Linked DNA regions of Arabidopsis thaliana. The protein of the gene in region 1 interacts with the protein of each later gene in a pairwise test. Each region holds a gene or a part of one and is shown on either strand. Other genes may lie near its edges.

Region 1 (4,499 bases):
TAAAAGAGGACTACCTGCCGTTTCAACATTAACCAAACATCACGCCGTTTCTTATTGTAGAGCTAAAATCGCGCGCCGTTTAGATACGATCGTCTTAACAATACAGAGATGAAGAAATCAATAACAAATGAAAGAACATGGAAAGGATTCGATTTGTACTGAAGAAATCACAACAAGAAGAATCAATTTTGCCCAGAAATGAGAAATAATCAAAAGCCTTTAGCACCAGATTCTTTCAAAACAGCAGGTTGATCAGCCATAGATAAACAGTACTTAGCAATCTCTCTGAACTTAGGGACACTTCTCAAATCCACTTTAGTTCCATCTTTCAAAGTAATGATGATATCTCCCCATTCTCCGATGAACCTCGGCACAACTTGAACGTCTTTTATCACTTTGTACGAGAAATCGCTCCGATCATCTCCGGTGAGTCCCGAAATAACCGTCACGCGGAGGTTAGTGAACCTGTAACGAAGGTTAAAAGCTCGAGACACTGCAGCTAAGGTTAGTGGGAGCCAAAGGATGGTTAGACCTAGAATGAGATTGGCTAATAGATCTCCGTAATGAGCTCCGCCGTCGAAGTAGACTGTTTCTTTCTTCGCCGGTTTGGAATCGGAAGGAACGGTGGATGCGGATGCGGAGGAGGAAGCTAGGAGCAATCTTTGAATGTGTCTTTGTGGTAGTTTCGTGGAGGGAGACAATGAAGAAGCGGGGAAGGAGAAGGTGGTTGAGAGGAGGAGAGATTTGCGAACGACGGAGGTTACGGCGGTTGACGGCGGAATTGAGGAAGAAGCTGCCATGAGAGAATGATTTGAGTGACTGGAAGATTTGGAGTGAAAAGATGATGACTTCTCTGTTTTTTGGATTTGATTTTTTGGCGCAAATTGTGCCACGTGGCCTAAGCTCTATGGATACAACATCTATCCAAATATTGAATCAATATCAACCATAGAATGATATAAATCAGAAATTATATAAGAAAAAAGATTATGCTACTAATGAAGAGTTAAGATGTAGGTAATGTAACCAAACTCTATATCAGCATCATCATGTGAGAGTATACTTTGATAGATTTCTATATGGTATTCGTTTTGATAAAATTTGGTCTTATCACACTTCATGAGCCAGTTATTCATGATCAGCTTTGCATCATATATATTCACAGACGAATACGGTTCTGAATCGGGCCATTGGTCTATTCACTGCCTTGAGCCGCGGGTACCGAGATCAGATGCGGCTTTAGCAGCTCTCTCTAATGCACCAGACAGCCAAAGAGCTCCGCTGGAGAAGTAACTGCTATTGACAACACTAGTTGCAGCTGCTGCCGCGGTTCTTCCTGTGGCAAAGACAGCTGATTTAGCTGTATCTGAAACATGATACCTTTGGTCAGTCATTCTAACAGCTTCAAGTCCGGTAAAGATTTTGTCAGTAAGACCAATCCTCTGTTCTAGTTGAGATACTCTAGCCACCGCTGCAGCTGATACGCCGTGGGATTCATCAAAGGCTTTAGCTTTGCTTAAAGCGTCTTTGCCTAGCACGAATCCTGTGGCAAGCATTATTTTCACCACTTCTTGAGCTTTTGTCACTGCTTCTCCAGCGTTGAACTCGCTTCGTTGAGCATAATGCTACATGATTGAAGAACGAATAAGCTTTAGAATTGAGACCAAGCATCAAACTTCAACATAAAGACTACTGAACCAGTGACCGTTAGATTTAACTATTTTAACAAAAAAAGAAGACAGAAAGATCAAAGTTGAGAGAAGTGTCAAAAGCGATACATACTTGTGAGTCCGATTCATCTTCAAAACCTCGCGAAGTCGCATTCCAGAAATCGAACTCTTCGTGATGTTGTCCCCAACGAGTTATACAAACACGCTGATCCAATATCGTTGCGCCCTGAAGATATCAAAGAAGTGAGTGATTTCTCAAGAGACATCCAAAAAAGATAGAAAGAGTGAATCAAATCCAAACTAACACTTACAGTGAGTAAAACAGCAGTTTCTTGAGAATAAGAATCCTTAAACATCACATAAGCAGTACAAGCTTGCTCACCCGACCTAGTCTCATTAACAACATTACAAAGTGTACTCTTTTGAATCCAGAATAAGCAAACAAACAACAAACTTGCTAAAAAGTAAAAAGACTCACCTGACAATATCAATATCTTGGATAGTACCAGAGAAAGAGAAGAAATCGATAAGATCATTATGAGTAACAGATGGAGATAACCCAGTAACTTCAACACCATATCCAAATTGATGATCCATCTCTGCTCAATAAGCTAAAAACAAAACAAAAAACCTAAAAATTTCAACATATCCTAAGTCAATAAATTAAATTACTTCCAGTTCGTGATTCAACTTTGGGAACTACATAGAACTTTCCGATTTAGCTTTACATGATTTGGGATTGAAATTTTCAAGCGAAATTTGAGCAAGGACAGATTGCCAAATATGTTCAGACCTAAATCGTTGATTCACTAAGCTCTAGAGAAGAAATTTAAGGAATCGAAGAATAGAAGTTACCTGTTGTAGTTGTTGTTGACCAACGGAGATCACACACAGAGAAGCTTGAAAGAGAGACAAAGGTGATGAATTGATGAAGTTGATGATGTGAGTGGGAAAGAGAAGGACTACCTTTTCAGTGAACGAAAAAGACGCAATTTTAAAAAGCTAAAAACTGCGCCGTTTAGTAACTCAATGTTGGGCCTTTAATGTCTTGAGTTAGCCCATATCGTTAACGGTTCTAAATGTAATAAAAAATTCTACATGAAAGGCCCAATGTTGTTTGATTATTTTCCAGTCTCAAACAACCCATAATCACAAATATTTTTTGAAACATAAATTTTCATCTTATGCTATTTTTTATTTTAAAAATCAGTCTTTACATATTAAAATTAAATCATTAATCATTACTAAGTGTTTGTACAAGAAGCAAAAATTAACAATCTATAGACGATTTTGTTTTTTTTCAGCAACGATTTTAACATTCTAGAACCTTTTTTATACCTTAGTATTGCATGTATATATAAAAATTGGAGTAATTTTAGATATTATCTGTCTAACCGTCCAAAGTCCAAACAGGTAAAAGTTCTCTAAGTGATAACTTTTTAAAATCTCTAAAGAGACAAATTTGACAAGTGTATGTGATATAAATACTTATGTTACTGTTAATACATGAGAGAAATTCAACGGAAAAGAAAGTTAGACCATTTTCATTGGGGGTTTTTTATAAGAGTTTCTCACAATTAAAAAATAAAAATAATAAAAATGAAGGAGAGAGAGTAGAAAGTTTCTTACTTGAGAAACTCTGAGATATTCTCTACAATCCATCATGATAATTCCCTTTTAATTATTGATTCAACTTTTTAATAAAAATATTTTTTTAATCAAAAAATCAAATTATAATATAATATTAATTTTTTTTTGTTTGAGAAACTTTGTGGGTTTTTCATGGATGGAGATGCCCTTAACTAAAAAGGAGAAAAAGAAAAGACGTGTGCCTAACAAATGTTTGATGTAATTGGTAAAAAAACGCAAAGAACATTATTATTATTAATATTCTTTGCATATGAGCCGTTGGCCAAATCAATACTTACGTCTCTCTTTCTCCATCTCTCATTGTCTCTTTCTACTTCTTTCCACGGCCACGTCCGTCTGTCAAAATTTACTAGTTTTTAATTCAGATTGATCTAGTCAGAATCTACTTTTTTTTTATGTGTGTGGTTCATGTTTCTATATTCTGACCCCTGCTGCAGTGAATTGCTATTTATGTATTTTTCATGCAAAACCAAAATTCACTGCTGGAAATGTATATTTTTCATATATGTAAACACCAGATAGTTTAATTTTGTTTTTTCACTTGTCTACCAAAATTAGAACTTTTATTAAACAACAACAATAAGGTGCTTGCGACTATAGCTTTAGAAGTTCAAGTATATGGATTATGGAACTTCTAAAAATTGCGACTATATATAAGCAAAAAACATATATTTAAGAAAAAAATAAATGTTCTAAATTACAGGAAATAGTTGAATATTGGTCCTCCAAATACAATTATCTTCACCATATATGATTATAACAATAAAATATAAAAGGTTGACCATTGACTAATGTATATATTCTATAGCTAGGTTAGACGTTTTGATTCGGATTTTGAATTTCATAGTGAAAGATTTTGATATTGAGTTGACGTCAATTCGGAGATCTACAACAAGACTACAACGTGTTTTATCAAACTCACCTGTTTTTCTTAAATCATAATTTTCTTTGTCTTTAATTGACTCGATTAGTCGATTCAAATATCACATTCCAAGTTGATATCTCCCAATTTTCCTCTATTGTTAATAGAGTTTGTTTATTGTTATTATATTATTTGTATCTAGTAAGCTTTTTTCATATGTGATTCTTAATAAGTGTCTTCTAAGATTAGTCGATGATAATCTTTGTCATTGTTCCACAAATCATAAATTATAAGCGTCAAACCTGAAACAATTTCTT
Region 2 (3,749 bases), 1.9 Mb from region 1:
TTGGATACCGGAAAATGGATTCATTCTACCGCAGAATCCAGTGGTTTGTTTAAAGATTTCATCACCGTGGGAAACGCTTTGGTAGATTTCTACTGCAAAAGCGGCGACTTGGAGGCAGCAACGGCTATATTTAGAAAAATGCAGCGTAGAAACGTTGTTTCATGGAACACATTGATATCGGGATCAGCCGTAAACGGAAAGGGAGAATTTGGGATAGACTTGTTTGATGCTATGATAGAGGAAGGGAAAGTAGCTCCAAATGAAGCGACATTTTTGGGGGTTTTGGCATGTTGCTCATACACAGGTCAGGTGGAGAGAGGAGAGGAATTGTTTGGTTTGATGATGGAAAGATTCAAACTTGAGGCGAGAACCGAGCATTACGGTGCCATGGTAGATCTAATGAGTAGAAGTGGGAGAATCACAGAGGCGTTTAAGTTTCTAAAAAATATGCCCGTAAACGCAAATGCGGCAATGTGGGGGTCGCTGCTCAGTGCTTGTCGTAGCCACGGAGATGTAAAGCTAGCAGAAGTTGCAGCAATGGAGTTAGTGAAGATTGAGCCAGGGAATTCGGGGAATTATGTGTTGTTATCTAATTTGTATGCAGAGGAAGGGAGATGGCAAGATGTGGAGAAGGTACGAACGTTGATGAAAAAGAACCGCCTTAGAAAGTCTACTGGCCAAAGCACCATTTGCGATGTTTCAGTCTGAGAAGTAGCTGGTTTTTGTCAATAGAGGCCAGACTTATTGCTAAATACGGTAATCAAGTTCATTTGTAAGCACATTTGTATTTTTCTGGCTCGGTGAAAATGCGGCCACCAGGTTTGATTAGTTTCTAATGAATTGATTAGAACAAAAATCTGTTTTGTTCGGTTTCTTTCAACAAAGAAACACAACTACGCCAATAGTATAATGCACAAGAAGTTTGGAGTCGACTTACTACTATTAAAACTTAAAAGAAAACCAGAATAGAGAGAGTGAGATGTCTGATTCATAAAACGTGAAGCAAATCACCAATGCTGTCTTGGTTTCCTACTTGATATACTGAGATAGCCATTTAAAACCCTCGCCATAACCCATTTTGCGGACGATGCTGCACATGAAGACCTCAAGGGGACGAACACCAGAGTCTTCAAGATTCACTATGCCTTTACCGGTAGTGAAATTGGTGAGACCTAAGTAATACCTAAGCTCATCTTCTGAGGATGCATAAGGTATATCAATCTTGTTGCCAAGAATAAGACAGGGAACATTTGCTAAGGCTTCATCTGATAAAAGAGCGTCTAGCTCTCTTTTCGACTCCACAAATCTATCCCTGTCGTAAGCATCCACTAGGTAGACAACAGCATCAACCTTTATAGTTTATACACACACACAGAGAAAGATTTGATTTTGGTTCCATCATAAGCAAATCAATAAACACAAAACATGTAATCTAGTTAGGATTAGGATGTGAACCTTGGCATAGCAGTCTTTCCAAACCCTACGAGCAATCTGATGGCCACCCAAATCAAAGGCCTTGAAGTTGATTTTGCCAATGCTAAGTTCCTCAGACGTGGGATGCTGTGTTGGCTGGTGCTGAACTAATCTCTGCAACACCAAAAGCGATATTAAAGCATCTTCGATTACAAGAATCACAAAATTTCTCAGTAATACATATATTAGTTGAAGAGAGAGCGTAGAAGTAATAAAGCCTACCTCATCTTTGAGCATGTGAAGCAAAGTAGTTTTTCCGGCATTGTCGAGGCCTAAAAACAAGATTTTCGCCTCTTTTTTGCACAACCCTAACGAGGCCAAGATTCCATAGAACCAATCGAATAAAAACATGACGTCTTCTTCCTGATATCGGATTATAATCCACACAACAACCAAAAAAATCACCAGAACAGAATCGGGAGACAGAGAGAGATGAAGAACAGAACAGAAAACCAAAATCAAAGTTTCGTTTCGTTGATGAAGATATAGTTGTATGTTGTAACATTAGTGTATATATATGCAAACAAAAAAAGAAATTAAAAAACACGTGGGTAATGGGGACTGGTAAATTGATGCGGAGCCTTGTGATTGGTAGTCATCATCGTCATTCGATCAATATGAACCGTCGGATCCTAGAACTTGTCGTTGCGATGTTTTTTATTACGTTAAACTTTTTAAGATTAAAGGCTTAATACCACGTGGCAAAACCTTAATGGCCAGGACCCAGGAGAGTTTATTTCCTCCACAAGTTATTATTATGAGCCGTCTGAGGAAAGCTACCCACATTTAATTCAAACACATAGGATACATTTTTTTTATTGTTCAACAGACATGATCAAAGTGTATATACAATGGAGTATTTAACTTTGAAACAGAAATAAAATAACATGTAATTACTGTTTCAACGCATAAAGAATCAAAGTGCTTACGAAGACGAGAAATATTGTAGTTCCGGTGAGACCACGGTGTTTGAAGCAGTCACCCCCGCTTCCTACAGAATGGCCACCACCGGTACCGCCATTACCATTTCCACTGCTGCCACGGCCGCCGCTATTAGAAGATCCTCTACTGCCCCCTTTACCGCTGTTGCCGCCTCGACCACTGCTGCCACCTCCACCACCACCACGACCTCCTCCACCGCCACCACCGCTGCTTCGAAGCTCCCGCTGCCAAACCGGGAAATCTATCTTACAACACGTTTTGTTACCTAAGATGGAATTAGGTTTCAGATGGACGGCTGAGACAGAAGTATTTGTGATTGAAGCAACGGCTTGGATATGCGCATGAATCGCTAGTAACAATAGTAATACGTGAACCATACGTTTCATGAATCTGTGTATCTCCATACTAATCTTTTCTTTTATGTTTATTTATCGCTCTAACCCAAAAAGGAAAAAATGAGCTTTTGTGTAGTACGATCTCTGTTTATATTTCATCTGGTCAACGTCTAAAATCTAACTTCATTTCCTAGGAAAAAAGAAATGGATGCCACTACTAGTCTACTATAGAGCAATATTAGCGAAATATTTACGTTTATGTAAGGTGTCGAGCCTCTCATTTATCAAATTTTGAAAAATTCCTAAGGAAAGGCCAACTAACTTTTTCTTAGCTATGAACAGGCCCAACAACTTTGCTTGGGTCATAGGTCCCACGAGGAAAAAAAAGAATTTTGGATATGGCCTGGCTAAATCTATCTTTATGTATTTTTGTTATGTTCAATTTTACGATCATTACAAGCACAAACATTAACTTAAGTAGGTCTATTTACTATCTTTAATTTCTGTTTCATTTCGTTTAATTTCTGAATGAGTCTAGTTACGTTCCATTGGTTTCATTTTCCAGGCATAATCAATACACAACATTAAGTGACCAAACTAAACTAACCTATTACAATGTCTACCTCTTCTCATTCCGTTCACGACCCGCAACACGCATCACAGATCATTTTACAATAATCTACATCAGGTTACCAACTGGTGCTAAACTAATTAGTCTCAAGTTTCCAAGCATTATACGATATATAGCAACATATAACTTCGTGGTAATACGTGTCTGTTTTTTTCCCAATATCGTGTGTATTATATACACCATTAAAATATTATATCTTCACCAATTTTTGAATGAGTTGGTATCATGTACTCCATGAATGTATCACAAAGCGAAAAAAAAAGAATTAATATTATTGAAAAAAGTCTACAAGAAATTGAAGTATATAATTTTCAATGAATTGGATTATCAATAGGGTCACATTCAAAGATGTGGTTACAATCATCAAA
Region 3 (6,460 bases), on another chromosome or scaffold:
GCCTGTTGGGCCATGTATCTATTCAAAATGCATCCAAAATATATCAACAACAACAACAACCACCAAATTAACCAGATGGTACAATATAACAGCTTTAAAGAGTAACCAAATTCTTTATCAATACATACTTCAAATTATCTACCAACATTAACAATGGAAATCCTAAGCATTGTTTAGGAATACCAATTCTATTGATTTTCGACGATTTTGCAATGTAGAATGTAGAAAAGTTCAATTAGAAGAAAAAAAGTCATACCACAAGATCTACACCATCCTCGTTAAAATGCCATTGAGAGTCAGACTTGATGACGACGAAAGAGACATGAAGCGTATCACCTTCATATTCAGCCTTGTGGGAGAAACATTCTTCACGGTCTATCACGAATCTAATCCCTAACGTAGCCTGGAAGCTCCATAAGAGCCCTAGTAATACGATCGTACCCTTCAAGCTCATCTGCCACAATAATTTCGAATTATATCAAAGCACAAAACGCAATTCAATCGTTTAGAAGAAGAATCGACTAGAGATTCCAAACCAAACCAAATTGAATTGTTCCAATTTCGATTCCTACGAGGTGATTAGGTTTGACACAGAGAGTGAGAGGGATTTACCTTCTTGAGAAGATCAAATCTGATGATTGATTGATTAGATCGATGGAAACTCGATCTGGTCGATGAGTGTTAAGAAAATTTGAAGATTGATCGGAGTAGAAGACGGTGGAGAGAATTGGATGAGAAAGAGCGAGCTCGTTCAGAATCGGACACGAAGAAGCCTGTTTTGACTCAAGGGGCAGTTTCGTTACCCGACAAGATCATCAAACTATAAACGACGTCGCTTGCTTACTCTTTGGGTTATTTGGTCAGCGGGCTTACGTGGCGTTATATCATTGGAGATAAAACATCTTTAAACCATTTAGATATTGCCACGTCATATTATGTCGAAAATGGAAACTCCATAAAATCAGTACGTTTCATTAGGAAGACTTTATAGGTTTCTCGTTTTTTACTTTGCCACAGTGGAATGTTTACTTGCTTTGCTAAAGAAACAAATGTTCTGACGTGTACCATCAGATTATCTTGTTTGCGGTAACAAGGAGTGTGAGTTTTGGTACGGTTTTCGTTATGAGTTGTAGTCAGATATATTCTTAATTTTCAAATTATCTTTGTTTGTTGGATCGATTATTTCAGTTCGATTCGGATCAAATACGAAGAACATGTTTCTACCCTTACTCTCTCATGCGTTTCCTTAATTAATCAATTTAGGTTCAGGTTTTGAGTTTATAGAAAATGATCAAATTACATATATGGCTGGACCAATATATTCCTATACGAGTGAGACAGATCCAACCATGCCTACACCAACGTTCAATTTTTTTGTAATAAAAAACTACATTTTTGGTTGAAGCACAACGAGGCCTACCTTTGATCCATCTTAAAGCTGTTGAAATGTCCTCATTCAACATTCACTTGAAGAAGTTCCTAAGTCCACTGAAGAGCCGTAGAGCCTTCAGCTCACCACTTCTGATATCTCTCAGTCTCCTCCTCAGAATCTGACCCAAACAAAACAAAAAAAAAAACACAGATTCCACAATATCATGGATCGATCCACAGACTCTTATCTATCGTATTGGCTAGAAAGTTGTTCCTTACGTATTGAGCACGGTACAGTATCCTGCGCTCACTAGTGGACAAGTCTACAGCTAGCTGTTTCAGAAACGCTTTTCGGTTCAACTGTTTTGGAGATGTTATGTCCAAATCCATTGATCCACTTTCCTACAATTAGATAATTGACAAAGCAAACTATAAGCAGATGGAGTGAAAATTTTCCCACAAAGAGAGAGAGATGAGCTGTTTTGTTACTTACCTTTAGAAATCGGCTGTACTTTGATATGCTTGTTTCGCATGAGTCCAGTATGAACTGCAATGCGTCTTCCTCGATTTCAGGATATTTTAGATCATTCTTTGTTGATGTCTTATTTGAAGCAGCTTTCGCCATCTGAAATGGATAATAATTGATAAGAGATGTATTATGAATTTGGGAAGAATTGGATGGTAAAAAGGGTCAAGATGGAGTTGCCAAACCTCTTCAAAGTTGTTTCTCATATCTGGAGGGCTCACCACAAGATAAGCATATGCCATTAGCTCCATTGGCCAACCCGTTATCCTTACGGGAAAGCATTGAGGTCTGCCAGAGAAAAGTTAACACAAACAATCAAAACAAAACTCAAGTTAATCAAGAGAGATCTACAAATTTGAGAGGGGAACATGGATGGTGGAGAATGGAATACGTCGATAATCCGTGTTTCTTTAAAGCATCCAGCTTTTCCTCGTAACACTTATCGTTTTTCCTAAGTGATAATGCTAGTTCTACTGAATCACTAGGATTGGTTCCTTCTCTGGGAACAAACCCATAAGATAACAATAGCTCTCCGTTAGATTTATTCCCATAGGATATGAAAACCTGCACAATGTCATGTTACTGAAACATATCAGAGACTTCAGACAACATTGGTTCCACTTTGGACTGACTTACTGAAGCGCTAAAAGGCAAACTGTGTAAACGGGACTTCTTTGTGTTATACACTGACTTATATTAAACTTCAATGCTCGCTCAGGTTATCTGAATGAATTTATCTTATTTACCTGCTCACCTGGTTGATATGGTCGATCTGTTGTAAAGACAACTCCTTTTGAAGATTTATCATAATCCAGGAACGTCTCAACCTTTCCAAGCAGATTTTGAAATATTGATTACCATAAGTCAATCATGCTTTCTGATTAGGAGAATCTAGGAGCTAATTGGTCATAAAGATAAGTAGAAGTACCTCACAATTATGATTAAGCATATCTGCCCATGGAACTAAGGCAAATCTTCCATCCATAGAAGGCAACCGCACCTGTGTTAGAGAAGCTTAAGTCTGAATTGCAGAGACAAGCACGCAGCACACGGAAGGAAAGAGAAACGAAATAATGCAATATTTTGGTTGTGAGTGGTCATTGTTCAAACAATAAATTGTTGGAGACAGCTATATTATGCAGAAAGTCATGCTAAGATTAAAGAACAAGTCTGTTGTTTCAAATTCAAGACATCTAGATTTACATCAATTATCAAGATAATGATTGCTTATGATACAGTAGTTCTTACCAACCGTGAGAATAGGATTCCAAAAGACCACTTAAATGTCTCATCATTGAAAACCTGCAACCAAGAAATAGCACACTCATATACATGTGGACAAAACAAATTTAAGCTCAGATAATAAAATAGAACCAACACTAGTTGTAATTACAGAAGTGCATCTTATTACATGTCCAAATAGTAAGCTGTAGCAAAATGGGCGTATACCAGTTACCTCTTTAGGGAAAAGTTGAGGGTGTTTGGAAAATATCCTGCTTCTTAGATCTTCATAACTGAGGAAAAGAAAAAGGAAAAAGACATGAGCAGTGTCTTGCAAGACATAATCATCAACCCCCTAGCCTACAAACAATAAGTACTAGTGACTGCATCAATGATTTCCAGCAGTTGAGAGAAAGAAAGAAAGAAAGAACAATATCTCACGTTCCAACAACATTGGTGATTCTTTCAATTGCCCGTTCTCGAATCTGAGAAGCTTCCAAGTACATATCAAGCTCTGTCCGAGTCCTGAAATAGTACAAAAAGGCTGTAGGGAGTAAGAAACTGAGACCAAAGTTCAGCTACAGAAACAAGTACAAAACTTACCAGTATAAAAGCGAGTAAGGTTGTCGGGGAAGAGCTGAGATATAGTTAAACCATCTTGAGCTTTTCTGAAGACTTGCTTCACTTATAAGATAAGTGGCGAGCAAAGGCCAATCTGGAACATCATAACGTTTCATCACTTCACCAGCTTCTGCGTTGGTCCATTCCTAAAACCCAATCTCCGATATTAGATATTCACATTCATGAAAGCCAGATACTTTAACCTTGCATTGATCTGAACAAGAGGTGAGGGATTGCTTGCAAGTGAGATCAAGGAATATAAGATTAGATTCTTTGATTCCGAGTGAAATTAGGAGTGTGAACTTACGGAATCAGCACTGATGACGAGAGAAGGAGGAACGAAGAGCAATTTCTCTCCTTTTCTGAGATTCTGTGAAGCGACGAGGCCTCGCTCACCGATGTCGACTCTATCAATAGCCATTTTCTGCGGAGGGAGACCTGAATCAGAGAGCCAGTTCTGAAGAGAAGTAGCGTTCTCAAGTGAATCAATCTCGCATCCCCATGATATCTTCGGAGCTTCCTCCATGGATTGTATTGTAGTCTCACCGGCCGAAACTGAGCAGTGGATTCCGGGACGGCATCGGGACAGCGGAAGCGGTGAGAAAGAGAGGGTGATGTTTTGATTACGAAGTTTGTGAAGTGGAGAGTAAGCTGGGAGTAGAGTAGACTGCAAGAGGCAAGCTTTTGCCATCGGAAAAGAGAAAACGATGAAGCGAGAAGACGAATGGTTGCACTTAGCAGAGGGGGCATGACAAAATTAAAAGATAATGTTTTTAAATTCGAACCAAAATTAGTTTGTGGATTTACGGTTTGGTTCGGTTTTGAGTTTAATTTGATGCTAAGGAAAAAAAATCTAAGCTGCCTATGGATAATGATATTAATATTCAAAACTTTGTTATGCGCTAATGCTAATGGGAAAAAGCCTAGTGATTAGATTTTGATAGAATCAGTTGATGAGATTTATTGAAAAATTGTTTCCATAACAGCAATATCTGGACGGTTTATTAGAATTTAGAAGCAATAGGGACCCAAAACACAGGAAAATTAATGAAAAAATTGAAGATTTGTTTATGTAAATGACAATCCCTAGAGTTGCTAATTGCTATTAATAATGCTAAAAGCGTACTGGACCTGGTAAATATTTGGACAACCATATAACTCATTATGTTTTTGAAATCCAATTTTTAAAATATTTTAATTTGGTATTGTAAAAGAAATTACCAAAGACAAAAAAAATAAACTTATTCAGTAAATTAAATATATATGTAATTATCATGGTGGGGATAATAATAACGTATTATAATTATTTGATAATTTAAATATTTACATAGAAAACAATAATACGTTACTGAGATGTAAAAATATAAATAATAATATGCTAATCATTAAATCGCTCATCTCATAATGATATGGGTAACATCGTTTGAGATAGTTGAGATTTAATATGATCAAGTTACAATCAAAACTTATCTTCTTCTTATTTTCTTAAATACTATGTTTTATGTTTGTCATTATTATGTAGTGTAAATATTCAGAAGATATCCTAAATCCTAATTTAAATATATTTGTGGACAAAAAAAGATTGTGACAACAATTTGGTTATCATTATTTACCAAAGATTCAGATTAAAACAAACAAAAAAACTCAATATTAAAAAGCTACAAAGGAATGCAAAACAAAATTGAAAAAAGAAAAGAGAGCCCTACGCTTCCAAAATCACAGTGCGTATTATTTTGCTCATTCCTTTCTCTCGCCCCCTTCCTCTTTTTTTTTTTTTTTTCTTGTTCCTTCTTCTTTCTTCTTCTCCTTCGTCGACCCAAACTAGTTTCAAATCCCATCCTCTCGTACTGATTTATCACTCGCCTCTTCGTATACATATATAGGTACTCAGACCTCTTTTGGTCTAGGTCCAGATTTCGATTCCTGTTAAAATATCAGAAGCGAGATTTTACGTTTGATAGAAGAGAGGATGGTCGGCAGTGGCGCTAGGGTTTCGATTTCGGCTACTACTCGGAAGATGATTCAGAACATTAAGGAGACCACTGCTGGGAACTATAGCGAGGATGAGATTATCGCAATGCTTCATGAATGTAACATGGATCCTGATGAGACCGCTCAACGCTTACTTCTTCAGGGTATAATCTCGACCTTCTCTGCACTTTTTTCTTTACCTAATTTCTCTTCTTTGATTGGATCGAGATTGTATTTTTCGATTTGGGGTTTTCTCCTGTAACTTAGGTTTTAGCATCTGATTTCTCTGCTCTTTGATTTTTTTTTTTCAGATTTTATCTGAATTCACTATCATCGGTTTCTTCGCCTATTAAGTTTTAAGCTGTCTCTAGTTGTTTATGTGATATTGTGTTGTAACCTCCTTTTCACAAAAAAAGGTTCACGAATTGATTTGGAATATACGGGAATCAATTACTTACACTAGTGATGTGTGAAACAAAGAGAATTAGCTTCTAACTAGAATTTTTCTGAGTGGTTTGTCTAGGAATAATACTTTTGCTAGGTATGAGTTCTAAACAAAGACTGCTGCGTTGTAGATGAATCTAGTGCTTAGAAATCCACATTTTCATCATCTTACCAAAACAAATTGTTATGAAAATAGGATTCTTTGGAGATGTGGTATTGCATCAGGCTTTTCGAGTGCTTCATGTAACCTGCTTGTGTACCATGTAATTTAGAGATGGTTGCTAGGATATGTTTTAAGTTTTTTTT

Evidence for each region.
Region 2: the proteins of AT1G14340 (region 1) and SARA1A interact in a two-hybrid assay, tested with the Arabidopsis thaliana proteins (one large-scale study listed by BioGRID).
Region 3: the proteins of AT1G14340 (region 1) and AT3G07670 interact in a two-hybrid assay, tested with the Arabidopsis thaliana proteins (one large-scale study listed by BioGRID).

The regions. Positions count from the first base shown.
Region 1 is NC_003070.9:4,895,477-4,899,975, reverse strand, and holds AT1G14340 (RNA-binding (RRM/RBD/RNP motifs) family protein), read right to left. Parts: upstream 2,631-4,499; 5' UTR 2,526-2,630; intron 2,282-2,525; 5' UTR 2,268-2,281; coding exon 2,149-2,267; intron 2,058-2,148; coding exon 1,982-2,057; intron 1,897-1,981; coding exon 1,783-1,896; intron 1,626-1,782; coding exon 1,200-1,625; 3' UTR 941-1,199; downstream 1-940. Other genes in the region: AT1G14345 (NAD(P)-linked oxidoreductase superfamily protein), read right to left, coding at 210-800.
Region 2 is NC_003070.9:2,963,222-2,966,970, reverse strand, and holds SARA1A (secretion-associated RAS super family 1), read right to left. Parts: upstream 1,949-3,749; 5' UTR 1,825-1,948; coding exon 1,696-1,824; intron 1,588-1,695; coding exon 1,456-1,587; intron 1,351-1,455; coding exon 1,030-1,350; 3' UTR 999-1,029; downstream 1-998. Other genes in the region: AT1G09190 (Tetratricopeptide repeat (TPR)-like superfamily protein), read left to right, coding at 1-708; AT1G09176 (uncharacterized protein), read right to left, coding at 2,367-2,819.
Region 3 is NC_003074.8:2,449,621-2,456,080, reverse strand, and holds AT3G07670 (Rubisco methyltransferase family protein), read right to left. Parts: upstream 4,518-6,460; 5' UTR 4,431-4,517; coding exon 4,047-4,430; intron 3,954-4,046; exon of another isoform or gene 3,886-3,953; coding exon 3,722-3,885; intron 3,644-3,721; coding exon 3,560-3,643; intron 3,412-3,559; coding exon 3,354-3,411; intron 3,200-3,353; coding exon 3,146-3,199; intron 2,898-3,145; coding exon 2,826-2,897; intron 2,725-2,825; coding exon 2,644-2,724; intron 2,462-2,643; coding exon 2,289-2,461; intron 2,186-2,288; coding exon 2,083-2,185; intron 1,997-2,082; coding exon 1,865-1,996; intron 1,774-1,864; coding exon 1,651-1,773; intron 1,551-1,650; coding exon 1,464-1,550; 3' UTR 999-1,463; downstream 1-998. Other genes in the region: p24beta2 (emp24/gp25L/p24 family/GOLD family protein), read right to left, coding at 1-18, 257-454; AT3G07660 (flocculation protein (DUF1296)), read left to right, coding at 5,709-5,874.